3 linked regions of the Neurospora crassa OR74A genome follow. The protein of the gene in region 2 interacts with the protein of the main gene of each other region in a pairwise test. Links are inferred from orthologs where the notes say so. Each region holds a gene or a part of one and is shown on either strand. Other genes may lie near its edges.

Region 1 (3,622 bases), on a different chromosome or scaffold from region 2:
TACCTTCAGGGCAGCGCCTGAGCGACTGGCGAGATCAATTGACCTCATGGTGACAGACTGTACAGAAGGGGAACTTGGTTGTTTGGAGAAAGAAAAGAGGAGAGAAAAGTTGCCGGTTACACTATCTTCACTTTGGTCCGAATTACGGAGCCATTCCACTTGTGAGTGCCGCCGCCACCCAAGCAGCAAATCCGGGGATTGCGGTACACTACATACACTGGAAGTACGCTAACTGTCTTTTTGTCCAATAACATCCAGCTATTTTAAGTGAATGCTTTGTCTTTGATTTCAATTCTGAATTCTGAGATGCCCAGGCAAGTCCTCAAAAGTTCCAGATCACTAGTAAAACCCTCCAGGCCGGCAGTACCCTTGAACCAGTGTTGACTTTGAATCTGCCAAGCCGGGGCGTAACACACAGCTGATCCACTTTTCGACTATTCAAGCCAATCATGACTCGTATGTTCCTAATCGATTCTCTCAGTCACGGACTTCGGCCGAGCTTTCATCTTGAATTGTTCTTATATCCGACGGAAATGTGGTCTACTGTTATATAGCAATACTTTTTGCTACCAGGTATCAAGTGTTATGAAACGGCGTGGCGGGCGTACTTGGGAATTCATGTCGTTGTGTGATTTTCCACTCTAAAAACATTACTTGCATAACCATAAAACGCCATTGCCATAGCCGATTCTACTAAACAACCCGCCAGTCGCTCTCAAAAAGGATATCCGGGGAAAATAGCACATATGAAATGCCCCTGCCATGACACTGCACTTTGCAGCTTCGTTTCCTCTTACATCGACAGCCCATCATAGAGACGTAAAAATTGACATCTTTCCGCAGCCGCCCTACACTTCAGCCGTGTTGCAAATTGTCGCCGTCTCCTCATCTTCATCCAAAAGTTCCCACTAGCGAGCTTCGGAATAATCGTTGAGAGCGACGCATACAATACCGCGGTGATGGCCGTTGTACTGTCTGATAACAAGCTGCGTGTGTAATTCCCACAGCCGCGCATAATGATCACTGCAGGCAGTTACCAAGTAGGCACTGTCAGCGCTGAAGGCACAGTCCCATACCCAACGCTGGTGCTCCTTGAGAGTGGCCTCGAGGGGGAACGCCTGCGGTTCCGAATCGGCCGTGGCAGGTTCCATTTCCCTGACTTCCCAGATCCTGGCCGTATGGTCGGCGCTACACGTTGCGAGCTTCTTGACATCGGGCGAGAGTAGGATGCGCGTGATGCTTTCCTTGTGTGCGGAAAAGTGGGTGAGGGGAATCAGCTGGGTGCGGTCATAGGCCTGGATGAGTTGCCAAACGAATACATTGCCCTGGCAGACAGAAAGGAGGTGTCAGTATATCGGGAAGATACAGCAAGGAATGACTCGGTGGAGAGAAAACTTACAGCAGTGTTGGCCGCACAAAGAAGTGTACCGTCACTGGCAACCGTGACACTTGTCACTGAAACATCCTCCTCGGGGATTAGCTGGTGCGAGCAAGTGTTCTCGGCCAGATCCCACAGTCGGATGCTTCCGGCGCGGTCGCAGCTGATGATCTCTCCCTGATTAGGGTGGATGACAACGTCGTTTGCCGGAGAGCCGTGGTTGTAGCTTCGCTGGATGGTTCCGGTGCGGGTTTCCCAAATCTTGACCGTTCCGTCCTCCGAACTTGTTACCATCCACTTGCCCTCGCAGTGGAAGGCCACGCCGGTCACATTGCCGGTGTGGCCCTGGAAGGTCATGAGGGCCTGCGGGTTTGTGGAACGAATGTCAAAGAGTTTGACATCGCGGTGGCCGGCAGCGGCGAGGTATCGCTTGTCAGGGGATATGCAAAGACGGTTCACTTGAGACTCGGGGTGTTGGATGGTGCGCGAGCAGATTCCGGAGAGCGCCTCCCAGAACCTGATGGTGTGGTCGTAACCAGCTGTAAAGGGCAAAGCGAAGAGTCAGCAGCTGTTCCAATTCGGCACAAGGGAGGAACTGGATCAAGGGGATGGGGCATTACTGCGTCGGCAAGGTAGACCGGGACAAGACAAGCCATACCTGTGCAAAGGATAACCGACATGGTAGAGGTAGCGACTGCGACGGGGATACAGAGGCTATGATTCCATAGTCCACAGACACTCTTCAGGTCTACCGGTACTTGGGCAGTCGGTGACAGACAACGAACGCGTCGATATGGGAAGAAGAGACGTGGATCACGGTAGAACAAGTTATATCGAAATGGCCCGAATTGAAACTGATGTCAACAACGCCGGGAGCTGAGGCCCTGATGATCGCGGGACGGCACTGGACCGCACCGATTGATACCTAGCAGCGGATAGCAGCGCTGCAGGCATGGATGGACAAGACAGGTCGGCGGGGCAGGCAACACAACGAAGAGACCTACGGACGGGACCTATGAAGTGGAGTGGACTTAAGGTTGCCCCACAGTGGAGGGGACAAACGGTGGGGCCCGCCGGAGTCAAGTGGGTTTGAACTGGATGTGGATGCAACTGCCTGCCGGGACCGGCACTCACTAACACATGCTCGACCAACCAGCAACAACAGCCCAAGCGATTCCGTTTCCCAACTTCAACTTTCCTTCCATCAAGCACAACTTCAATACCAACTAACTTCTTCACCAAGACATGAATATTTACTACTTATGTACATCAACATCTTCCCTTTGCTCGAGATCTGGAATCCACGTATAACCCACTTCCATTTTCCTCCTCGCCTGTTATATGACCCAGTGATAGCACCATCTCAATGTCAGCATATTCTCCTCCTTCTTAGGGCCTCTGTTCCCCTCGTCGTCCAGCACGCACACACTCGGACTCTCTTGTGATGCCGCGAAACACCATGTACCAGGACACCCGCTTCATTCCATCTGATGCCGTCATTAGCCATGCCATATCCGTCTTGGATGTGCTACTTTGACACCCCCAACCTCGCACTCATTGGTGAGGTCTACGGCAAATCCGAGTACCAGATGTGTTGTTTCCCTTGCTTCCCGTTTCCCGTCCCCCGCCTCCCAGGTTGGCCTGTGATAGAGTGCCCTGTACGTCCGGCGATATCCGTGCAGTGACCTACCTACTAGAGGCAGTTAGTATTCACTTTCTGTTGGTCAACATCTGCTGGGACCTGCAACTTTAAGCGCGAGTGGGCCCTGCTTCTGTACCACCGACACCTTACAGTCCTACTTAGTCCGTGGACAGTCTTCTTGTAAGTGAGTGGGTTGATTGCCATCGATGAGACCTGAGAGCACGAGTGGAGGCTGACCTGTCTAGGTTCCTTTTTTGCCTTTTCCCTGCGCAACCGAGCCCCGGCCTGACGAACACTCTACACAAGTCACCACCAATCTCAAACTCCATGATCGGCTGTTTGCGTCTCAGAACCCGTCTTCGCAGCGGACGTCCACCTGTTGGAGCCTTTCTCGGTGCCCGAGTGTGGTACGGGTACCCGATTCCGCCAAAGCTTTCGGATTCTTCCGGTTATCAGCATGAACAACCAACTTCCACAGGGCACCATTCCCGCACTGGACTTTTATTTGCCCGATCAACTCCTCTCAGCGACCTGCGTCATGTCGCCCGCCATGGCTGTGCTACCTGTCGGTTTCGTCCCATGTCCGAACTTGGGATGAATCC
Region 2 (3,968 bases):
CCCGGATTCCTCAACCTCAGCAACCACCTCTCCCCATAAACCTGCGCCACACACCCCGCCGTCTCAGCAATGTACTTGGCCCTATAACCAAAGCCCAGCTCCCTCAGATGGGCCTCGACCCCTTCCCCCGCCAACGCCTCCGGCCCGGGGAAATCATGAAACGCTTCTCCCTCCACGGTGGCCACATAAGGACCGTAGTGCGTACACAGCTTCAGCACCATCTGGCTGATGCGCGAAATGTTGTTGTTGCTGCTGCAGATGAAGGAGATCAGCGTCTCCCATGCGTCCTGGTTAAGGATGCGGATCCCCGTGAAAGCGGGCGCACGCCGGGCGAAGTTGGCATCTGAAAGAGACCATTGGGCGTAAAGGGTAGTGAGAGAGTGAGAGAGGGCAAAGTAGTTGTGGAGGAGGACGGACGTGTCGTCTTCGAAGTCCTGGGGGTGTTCATTTTTGGGAGTTGCTGTACTGGTAGGCCATGTCACTTTGTAGTGAAGATGGGTGGGATCTTGTTTTAGGGAGATGAGACGGCCTTTGAGGACGCAGTGCCTGGAAAACTGTTAGGACTTGATACTTTGAACAGAGAAGAAATAAAAAGAAAAAAAGTAAGATAGTGGTGTGCATTCGGACCATTGTTCATTTATCTTGCGCCATCTAAAGGACTGGCCGCATCGGAGTGTGGTTTCGATGCAGAGCTCTGTGAGACTGATAGGCAGTTTGCGCCATTCTGTCACTTTCTGGGATGCCATATCGTATTTATTAAAAACTCTTAGACTTTGCAGATAAGACAAAAAGGATATAAGGGTCTTCTATAGAGGCTTGATGTGAAATTCTTTGTCTCCATCCCTTATTATGCAGGTAGATTGATTATCACTTTTGTTTCTCATGGACCCAAAATCCCAACCCGGATTTGATGGGGGGCAATGCACTGGGGCTGCAAATGCCCTGCGGTGGTGGTTACCTATCTGCTGGAACTAAGGTACCTCTACAGGGGCAATTCCTCTTCAGTTGTTGCCACGCCATTGCAGGGCGTCAAACTTCCCGGTGTGGATGGGTCAGTGGAACCGAATCGCACGGAAACATAGCGCGCTAAGCCGAAAGAGGATCAAGCGCCCTCTGCAGTAACAACGGCTACTGGAAAAGTTGCAGCCTCGCGATCGACGAGACTCGCAATTGGAAGCTAGGTCAAGCAAAGCCACTTTCCTTTTCATCAAACACCCTCAGAACATTTTCCTGCTTCTTTGGTGCAACCATCTCGTATCACCTCTTTTATACTTAACGAGATTTGTGTTGACCATGAACGGGGACACCTATTCCTCCAGAGGTATGTTGGCACTGACCGTGGCTATCCGCTAGAACTCAACTTAACCGTGGCGAAACAGACAGCGGCCGACACGGTTCGTCTCGCGACTATCCGGTAAGTGTGCCTCGTATACAAACCTAACAGCGGTCTTTTCTGTGGGCCTAAGCTAACCTATTATCAGTCCTCGAGACGCGACCGCGATGACAGACGTGACCGTGGAGATCGCAGTGACCGAGGCAGTGGACGCAGACGCTCTCGCTCTCCCGCCGACTACCGGAGCAGCCGACCCCGTCGCGAAGACGGCGATTTTGACGCTTATTCATCGAGCCGCAGCCACCGCGACCGCGAGCGAGAAGATCGATACTCTGGCCGCGACCGTCGTGGACCCGATCGTGGTGATAGGGAGTGGGATCGTGACAGGGGCGCCGACCGTGGAGCCGACCGTGGAGCCGACCGTGGTGCGGATCGTGGCGCTGACCGCGGGGCCGAGCGTGGAGGTCGCAGCCGGAGGGACGATGACGAAGGCGGCCGTCGCCGGGACAGAGATCGTGACGTGATGGGAGATGATCGCCGCGGTGGAGGCAGAAGGGACCGAGAGGCGGACAGGGAGCGCAGGAGGAGTGTCTCGCCGCCCCCCAAAAAGAGGGAACCGACACCCGACTTGACCGATGTCGTTCCTGTTATAGAGCGCAAGAGGCGCATGACACAGTGGGATATCAAGCCTCCCGGATATGGCAACGTCACCGCGGAGCAGGCCAAGCTCTCGGGTATGTTCCCATTACCTGGCGCCCCGCGACAACAGGCCATGGACCCGACCAAGCTTCAGGCTTTCATGACCCAGCCAGGTGGAGCTGTCAACAGTGCTGCCCTTAAGCCTACGAACTCCCGCCAGAGCAAACGACTTATTGTCTCGAATATCCCACCGTCAGCCACCGACGAGAGCCTGTTGGGCTTTTTCAACCTTCAGCTCAATGGCCTAAATGTAATCGACAGCGCCGATCCTTGCGTCCAGTGCCAAATATCTCCCGATCACAGCTTCGCCATGCTTGAGTTTAGGAACAGCCCGGATGCTACAGTCGCTCTGGCCCTTGACGGTATCACCATGGAGGCCGAGGATGCCAATGGTGCTGCTGGTGCCGGTGGGCTCAAGATCCGTAGGCCGAAGGACTACATCGTACCCGCAATTGTCGAGGACCCCAACTACGACCCTGATTCAGAGGTGCCTTCCAGCATTGTCATCGACAGCCCTAACAAGATCAGCGTCACCAACATCCCTGCATATTTGAGCGAAGAGCAAATCATGGAGCTCCTGGTTGCCTTTGGCAAGCTCAAGTCCTTTGTGTTGGTTAAGGATAAGCATACGGAGGAGTCAAGGGTGAGCCTAATGGTCCTTTCTACCAACGAGCGCACATGCTAACATGTCCTAGGGTATCGCATTCTGCGAGTATCACGATTCTTCGGTCACATCTGTTGCTATTGACGGCCTCAACAACATGATGCTGGGCGATAGGGCGCTGAAGGTTCAAAAGGCCAGCTATGGCATTCAACAGGTAGCTGGAGAACTGAGTGTGAACGCCATGTCCATGCTTGCTGGTACCACTTCCTTGGATGGCGACGTCAGCAGGGTCGTGCAGCTCCTGAACATGGTTACAGCGGATGAGCTGATGGACAACGACGATTACGAAGGTTTGTTCAGCGTTTCTGTCACTACACATGTTCAAGATGCTAACGTGTGCTTTCAAGAAATTCGCGACGACGTCCAGGAAGAATGCGAGAAGTTCGGAACTATTGTTTCCCTAAAGATTCCCAGACCCACTGGCGGAAGCAGGCAGTCTGCTGGTGTTGGCAAGATTTTCATCAAATACGAGAATTCCGACCAAGCAACAAAGGCCCTCAAAGCTTTGGCGGGCAGGAAGTTTGCTGACCGCACGGTGGTTGCGACATACTTCCCTGAGGTTAGTTTCATCAGCTTTGCTCTGATTTGCTTCGCTCGTTTATACTGATAAATCCTACAGGAGAACTTTGATGTCAACGCCTGGTAAAAGACGATAGGCAGTAGGAGAAGGGATATGTTTGACTGTACTGAAAGGAAGAACAGTAGTCGTGCATGGTATAGCGTGATCTGTTGATTGACAACGAGGAAACAATCAGAACGTCATTAGTATCAAGGTTCGGTCATTTCCTCGAAGTTATCGTTGGGATCTCAGCGGCGTGTACAGAAGTTAATGGGATTTCAGCCGCGGTACAGTCAGGGCGCTCAAAAACAGAGGATACAACATCAATACACTCAGAAGTGTATTTTGATTACATGCCGAAGGTTTACAAATACATCATCGATCGGCACAAGGGAAGTTGCATTGGGATCACTTGTTTATCATTATCTTAGTCTAAATGTCCGGGGTCGCCAACCAACGCCCGCGACAATGAACTCAGTTTGCATGCCATGGCGACCGCACAGTCTCGAGCTTAAAAATTGGTACCTAGGTCTGAAGGAACGTTAGCCTGAGCACGACTCGAATTATGCAATAACAAGACGAGTGCGAAAGCTAAAGTTTCAGAAGTCCGTTTAATTCATCAAGTCCCAAAAAGGAACTTTAACATAAGAGGTACCAGAATAAAGTATAAAGTGTGTATCATCAGGATAAGGAGGCTCGGAAAAAAGGTAGAG
Region 3 (3,769 bases), about 5.3 Mb from region 2:
CAGGACGTCAGCAACAAAAACGAGGATTTCTGGTTTCGTGCCGTGGGTTACTTCAAAAGACTCCAATATCCTGCGGGAACTGTCATCTTCCGGCGCGGGGAGCAGGCAGAAGGATTTTATCTGCTCGAGCAAGGTATGCTCAGAGCCGAATACGATCTGCCACAGGGACGGCTTTGTGAAAGCATCGTGGCCGGAACGACGTGCGGAGAATTGCCGTTCTTCTCGGAGACGACGAGAACGGCGACGTGTGTGGTCGAGCGCGACTGTGTGCTGTGGATGATGGACCGGGAAGGATGGGAGAAGCTGCAAAAGGAGCAACCGGATGTGGCGATGGAGCTGTTGAGGATAGGGTTGAAATTGACGAGCGAACGGATGAGTGTCTTCACGAGTTATACGCTGACTATGGCTGGTTGAGTAATGCTTTTGATGCAGGGGGCACATGGGCATGGGAACAAACAAGCAACTGTGTAATATGTAACATAGGTCATCACATAAGTCTGCGAATATCAGTTATGTCAAAGCTGGTTATAAAGATAGCTCGAATTAGTTTACATATGTTGTATATGCACTAGAAAACCAGTCTCTCATATTGCCCACGACAATGCCACATGTGTAGCTCTCAACTGGAAACTGTGATCAACGGTAATGATGTCGCGTAGTGAGCGAACGAATCCAGATGCAAGCGAAGGAAAAAAAGAAGAAAAGACTTTCCTTTCGTAGCACAGAGCATCAATAAACCAGAAGTTTCTAGTCACACCCAATTCAGATCCCCTAATCCAGTCGTGCGCTGATCATTTCATTCAATCATCACCACCGTCCTCCTCACCCGCATCCTTATTCTTGCTCTTCCTGAACCGCTCCTTGCCAGTAGCAAAGAAAGCCTCAACAATCCTTCCATCAAATGCCCGTCCATGCATCAAATGCACGCACGCCTCTGCCGCCTCCACTGTCGCGAACTTGACGCTCACAATCCCTTCCTCTTCCTCATCAAACAGCACCACGTTAGTCACGGGCCCCAGCTTGGCACATTCCTCCCGGATGTCGTCCTTGATCTCCAGCAGAGCAGCCGGGTCCTCGTTGAGCTCCTCCAGCGTGAACATGTGTCGCAGGATCACGACCTTGTCCCACTTGCCTCCCTTTGCTTCCTTGATCGCGGGCCCCAGAAGGCGGGCAGAAGGGGAGGGCTCGTCGTCGTCCCAGTCGGCGAGCTTGGCGGAGAGCTTTTGGGTCTTTTTGATGATTTTGGCTTTGTCTTGTTGGCTGCGTTGGTTATGACCGTTACCGCCACCGTCGCTGGAAACGGGGTTGGGGTTGGTGATGTTGTTGTAGGGGGTCGAAGAGGACGAGCCTTCTCCCTCTGCGCCACCATTGCCTGCCTTGTCACCACCGCCGTTCTCCGCGCCTGCTGCTGCGTCGTATTTGGTCTTTTTGTAGCTCATATCCGCCGCCTGGACGCGCATTCTGCTGCCATCCGGAGCAGGCTCAAAGCGGAAGTCGGTGTCATCCAGGAGCATAATGGCCATCTCGACCGACTGCGGCTTGAAGAAGACGATCAAGGCGTCCCCTTTGAAGTTTCCGTTGGCGTCCGTGTACATCTTGATGCGCGGGCGGCCGCTGTCGATCTCCTCGGCAATGACGCCGCATTTACGCGAGAAGAGCTCGGCGACCTCGTCAGCCGTCGCATCGAGCGGAAGACCAGTCACGTAGACGGCTGTGTTCTGCTTGGGCTCCCGTGGCGCTTTCTCACGCTTCCGGTTCTTCGATGGACGGGCGTTCATGTTGTGGTTACTGCTAGCGGAGTCCTGTAGGCGTGCGCGCAACGAGGGAAAGAAAGAAAACGTCTGGTTAGTGTCTTCCCCGGGATTGTTTTTTTTCTTCTCACGTCCTGTCCGTCCTCACACCCACATCACAAGGAACACCACACATATGAATCATTCATGTTCATGTACTCCTAGGGGACAGCGATGTCCCTTCCTCTCTCTCGCTCTCTCCCTTTCACGGTTGTTTCGAAAGTTTCAAAATGGGACGAAAAGGGAATGATTGGATCAATATTTTCAAAGAAGGATGAGTGAGTGTTGAAGATGGTGGCAGTAGCGAACGTTGACAGGTGCGCATTCGAGCGCAGCTTACCTCTCGGTCGTCGTTCTTTCTCTTCTTGCCTTGTCCTTTGCCCAATTGGCCTGTCTCTGTATCGTCGTCTCCGAGTGATGTTATGTATGCCCTCTGGTGTTCTTCGATTAAGGCTTCGTCGATGATGGGAAGCCAGCGCTTGAGACCCTCGTCGAACTCGTATTCGGTGCCATCGTCTTGGACCGCGATGTATTTGTTGTCGAGCTTAGAGAAGGAGATGCGCTCGTCTTTGTCAAACTCTCCGGGGTCGGTCGGAAATGTCCAGTACTCGGCTTGTTGTCCTTCTTGTTGTTCCATTTTGCTTGCTTGAGGATGCGCCAGATGGAAGCCTGTGTGTTGTTTAGAGCTCTAATGGCTGCGTTCGGTTGTTGAAGGCGCGAATTGGGTAATTCCAGATGACGTTGAAGGCGGAAAATGCAGCCCTGTCTTCGAACACCCGTTGGAGGTTCCATCCCTTGGTGACGGGGAACCTGCTGTGGGGCCCTTTTACATGGTAGTCGTGGGTACGTTACTTCACGCGGCTTTGGGACTCCGTGACAGTCGCTAGGGCCACTATGACTTGGCCACTATACGTCAACAAGCACGCCCTTATTATTTGCAATAGCACGGGAAGAAGTATAGGAGGATAAACCGGCGTGAATACTTCGGGAGACTTTTTCTTTACGTCCGATTGACTTTCAACCCTCCAGGTTTGGGCATTACTAGTGCTTGTTAGTGCGGTCAAAATCGGTGGTACAGACCTCCATTTTTGATCAAGCTTCGGACGCAAGCCTTCCTACAGCTTTTCAGGGCCTATTGATCCTCAATATCAATCGAATCTCCTGTATGTCGTGTCCTCATCTCGAAGGCTCTATCAAGATCTGAAGTCCTTTACTTCTTCTGGACTGTCTTTTTCACTCCTTCCACAAAGGCCTCGACAGCATCTCCGCCACCTAGAGGCACCATACCGCCCCTGACCATACCACCATTTTCCACTTGGATTCCCAACGCAGCAGAAATGTTGGGGAGTCCTCCATCCCGAAGAGCGATTGTCAGACTGGCAAGGCTCTGGGTAAACTGAGGGCTCCGGAGAACCTTCTTCAGAAGCGCGCGCTTCTGATCCTGGCTCATAGCCTGCCGAGCGGCCTCAACAGACGCGGCACTAGGCTCAACCTCGATGGCATCAGTACCGCTGGCACCTTGCTGAGACATGACAATGACGGTTGGGGGTAGATAGTTCAAAAGGTTGTCGACATATTCGTCGGTGGCGGAATCAAGCATCGGAATCGTAACTGAGGATTCAAGAAGATCGTTGAGTAAAGGGTAGGATTTGCCTTGGGCTTGGGCTTGGCCTCCGGCACGCCCTTGGGTGCCTTTCAGGGACTCGAGGAAGTTCCTTACAACGGCAGCCGCATCCGCCTCGGCATTCGTAGCATTTGCCCTGTCAACGAGAACTATATTAGCACATGTAATGGCATCGGAGACGCAATTTTGCGGAAAGCAGAGGGACGCCATGTGCATGTCAAATTTTAGTGCCTCCATCTAGCAAGTAACAATACAGTTGCACCGTTCTTGTTGCCCTCTGCGCCATAGCTTGCTCATGTTTGGTTGAAGTAGATCAAATGATGTGCGCGCCAAAGCAACCCAAACTCCCAAAACT

The links. The genes of interacting proteins can lie anywhere in the genome.
Region 1: the proteins of NCU03039 (region 2) and NCU04281 interact in binary tests that used the Schizosaccharomyces pombe proteins (3 or more experiments, as listed by UniProt). The link is inferred for Neurospora crassa OR74A from reciprocal best matches to the Schizosaccharomyces pombe genes prp2 and wat1.
Region 3: the proteins of NCU03039 (region 2) and NCU02633 interact in a two-hybrid assay, tested with the Schizosaccharomyces pombe proteins (3 studies listed by BioGRID). The link is inferred for Neurospora crassa OR74A from reciprocal best matches to the Schizosaccharomyces pombe genes prp2 and uap2.

The regions. Positions count from the first base shown.
Region 1 is NC_026505.1:5,484,161-5,487,782, forward strand, and holds NCU04281 (WD-repeat protein pop3), read right to left. Parts: upstream 2,364-3,622; 5' UTR 2,059-2,363; coding exon 2,037-2,058; intron 1,918-2,036; coding exon 1,400-1,917; intron 1,326-1,399; coding exon 909-1,325; 3' UTR 509-908; downstream 1-508. Other genes in the region: NCU04280 (aconitate hydratase), read right to left, coding at 4-48. UniProt on the Schizosaccharomyces pombe protein: component of both TORC1 and TORC2, which regulate multiple cellular processes to control cell growth in response to environmental signals. Nutrient limitation and environmental stress signals cause inactivation of TORC1.
Region 2 is NC_026501.1:8,349,441-8,353,408, forward strand, and holds the start of NCU03039 (splicing factor u2af large subunit), read left to right. Parts: upstream 1-1,156; 5' UTR 1,157-1,293; coding exon 1,294-1,321; intron 1,322-1,379; coding exon 1,380-1,414; intron 1,415-1,481; coding exon 1,482-2,675; intron 2,676-2,727; coding exon 2,728-2,986; intron 2,987-3,043; coding exon 3,044-3,255; intron 3,256-3,315; coding exon 3,316-3,342; 3' UTR 3,343-3,968. Other genes in the region: NCU03040 (N-glycosylase/DNA lyase), read right to left, coding at 1-546, 628-746. UniProt on the Schizosaccharomyces pombe protein: Necessary for the splicing of pre-mRNA. The SF1-U2AF59-U2AF23 complex has a role in the recognition of the branch site (5'-UACUAAC-3'), the pyrimidine tract and the 3'-splice site at the 3'-end of introns.
Region 3 is NC_026501.1:3,000,236-3,004,004, forward strand, and holds NCU02633 (nuclear mRNA splicing factor-associated protein), read right to left. Parts: upstream 2,523-3,769; 5' UTR 2,428-2,522; coding exon 2,131-2,427; intron 1,803-2,130; coding exon 801-1,802; 3' UTR 509-800; downstream 1-508. Other genes in the region: NCU02632 (sulfate transporter), read left to right, coding at 1-414; NCU02634 (hypothetical protein), read right to left, coding at 3,001-3,550. UniProt on the Schizosaccharomyces pombe protein: Has a role in pre-mRNA splicing.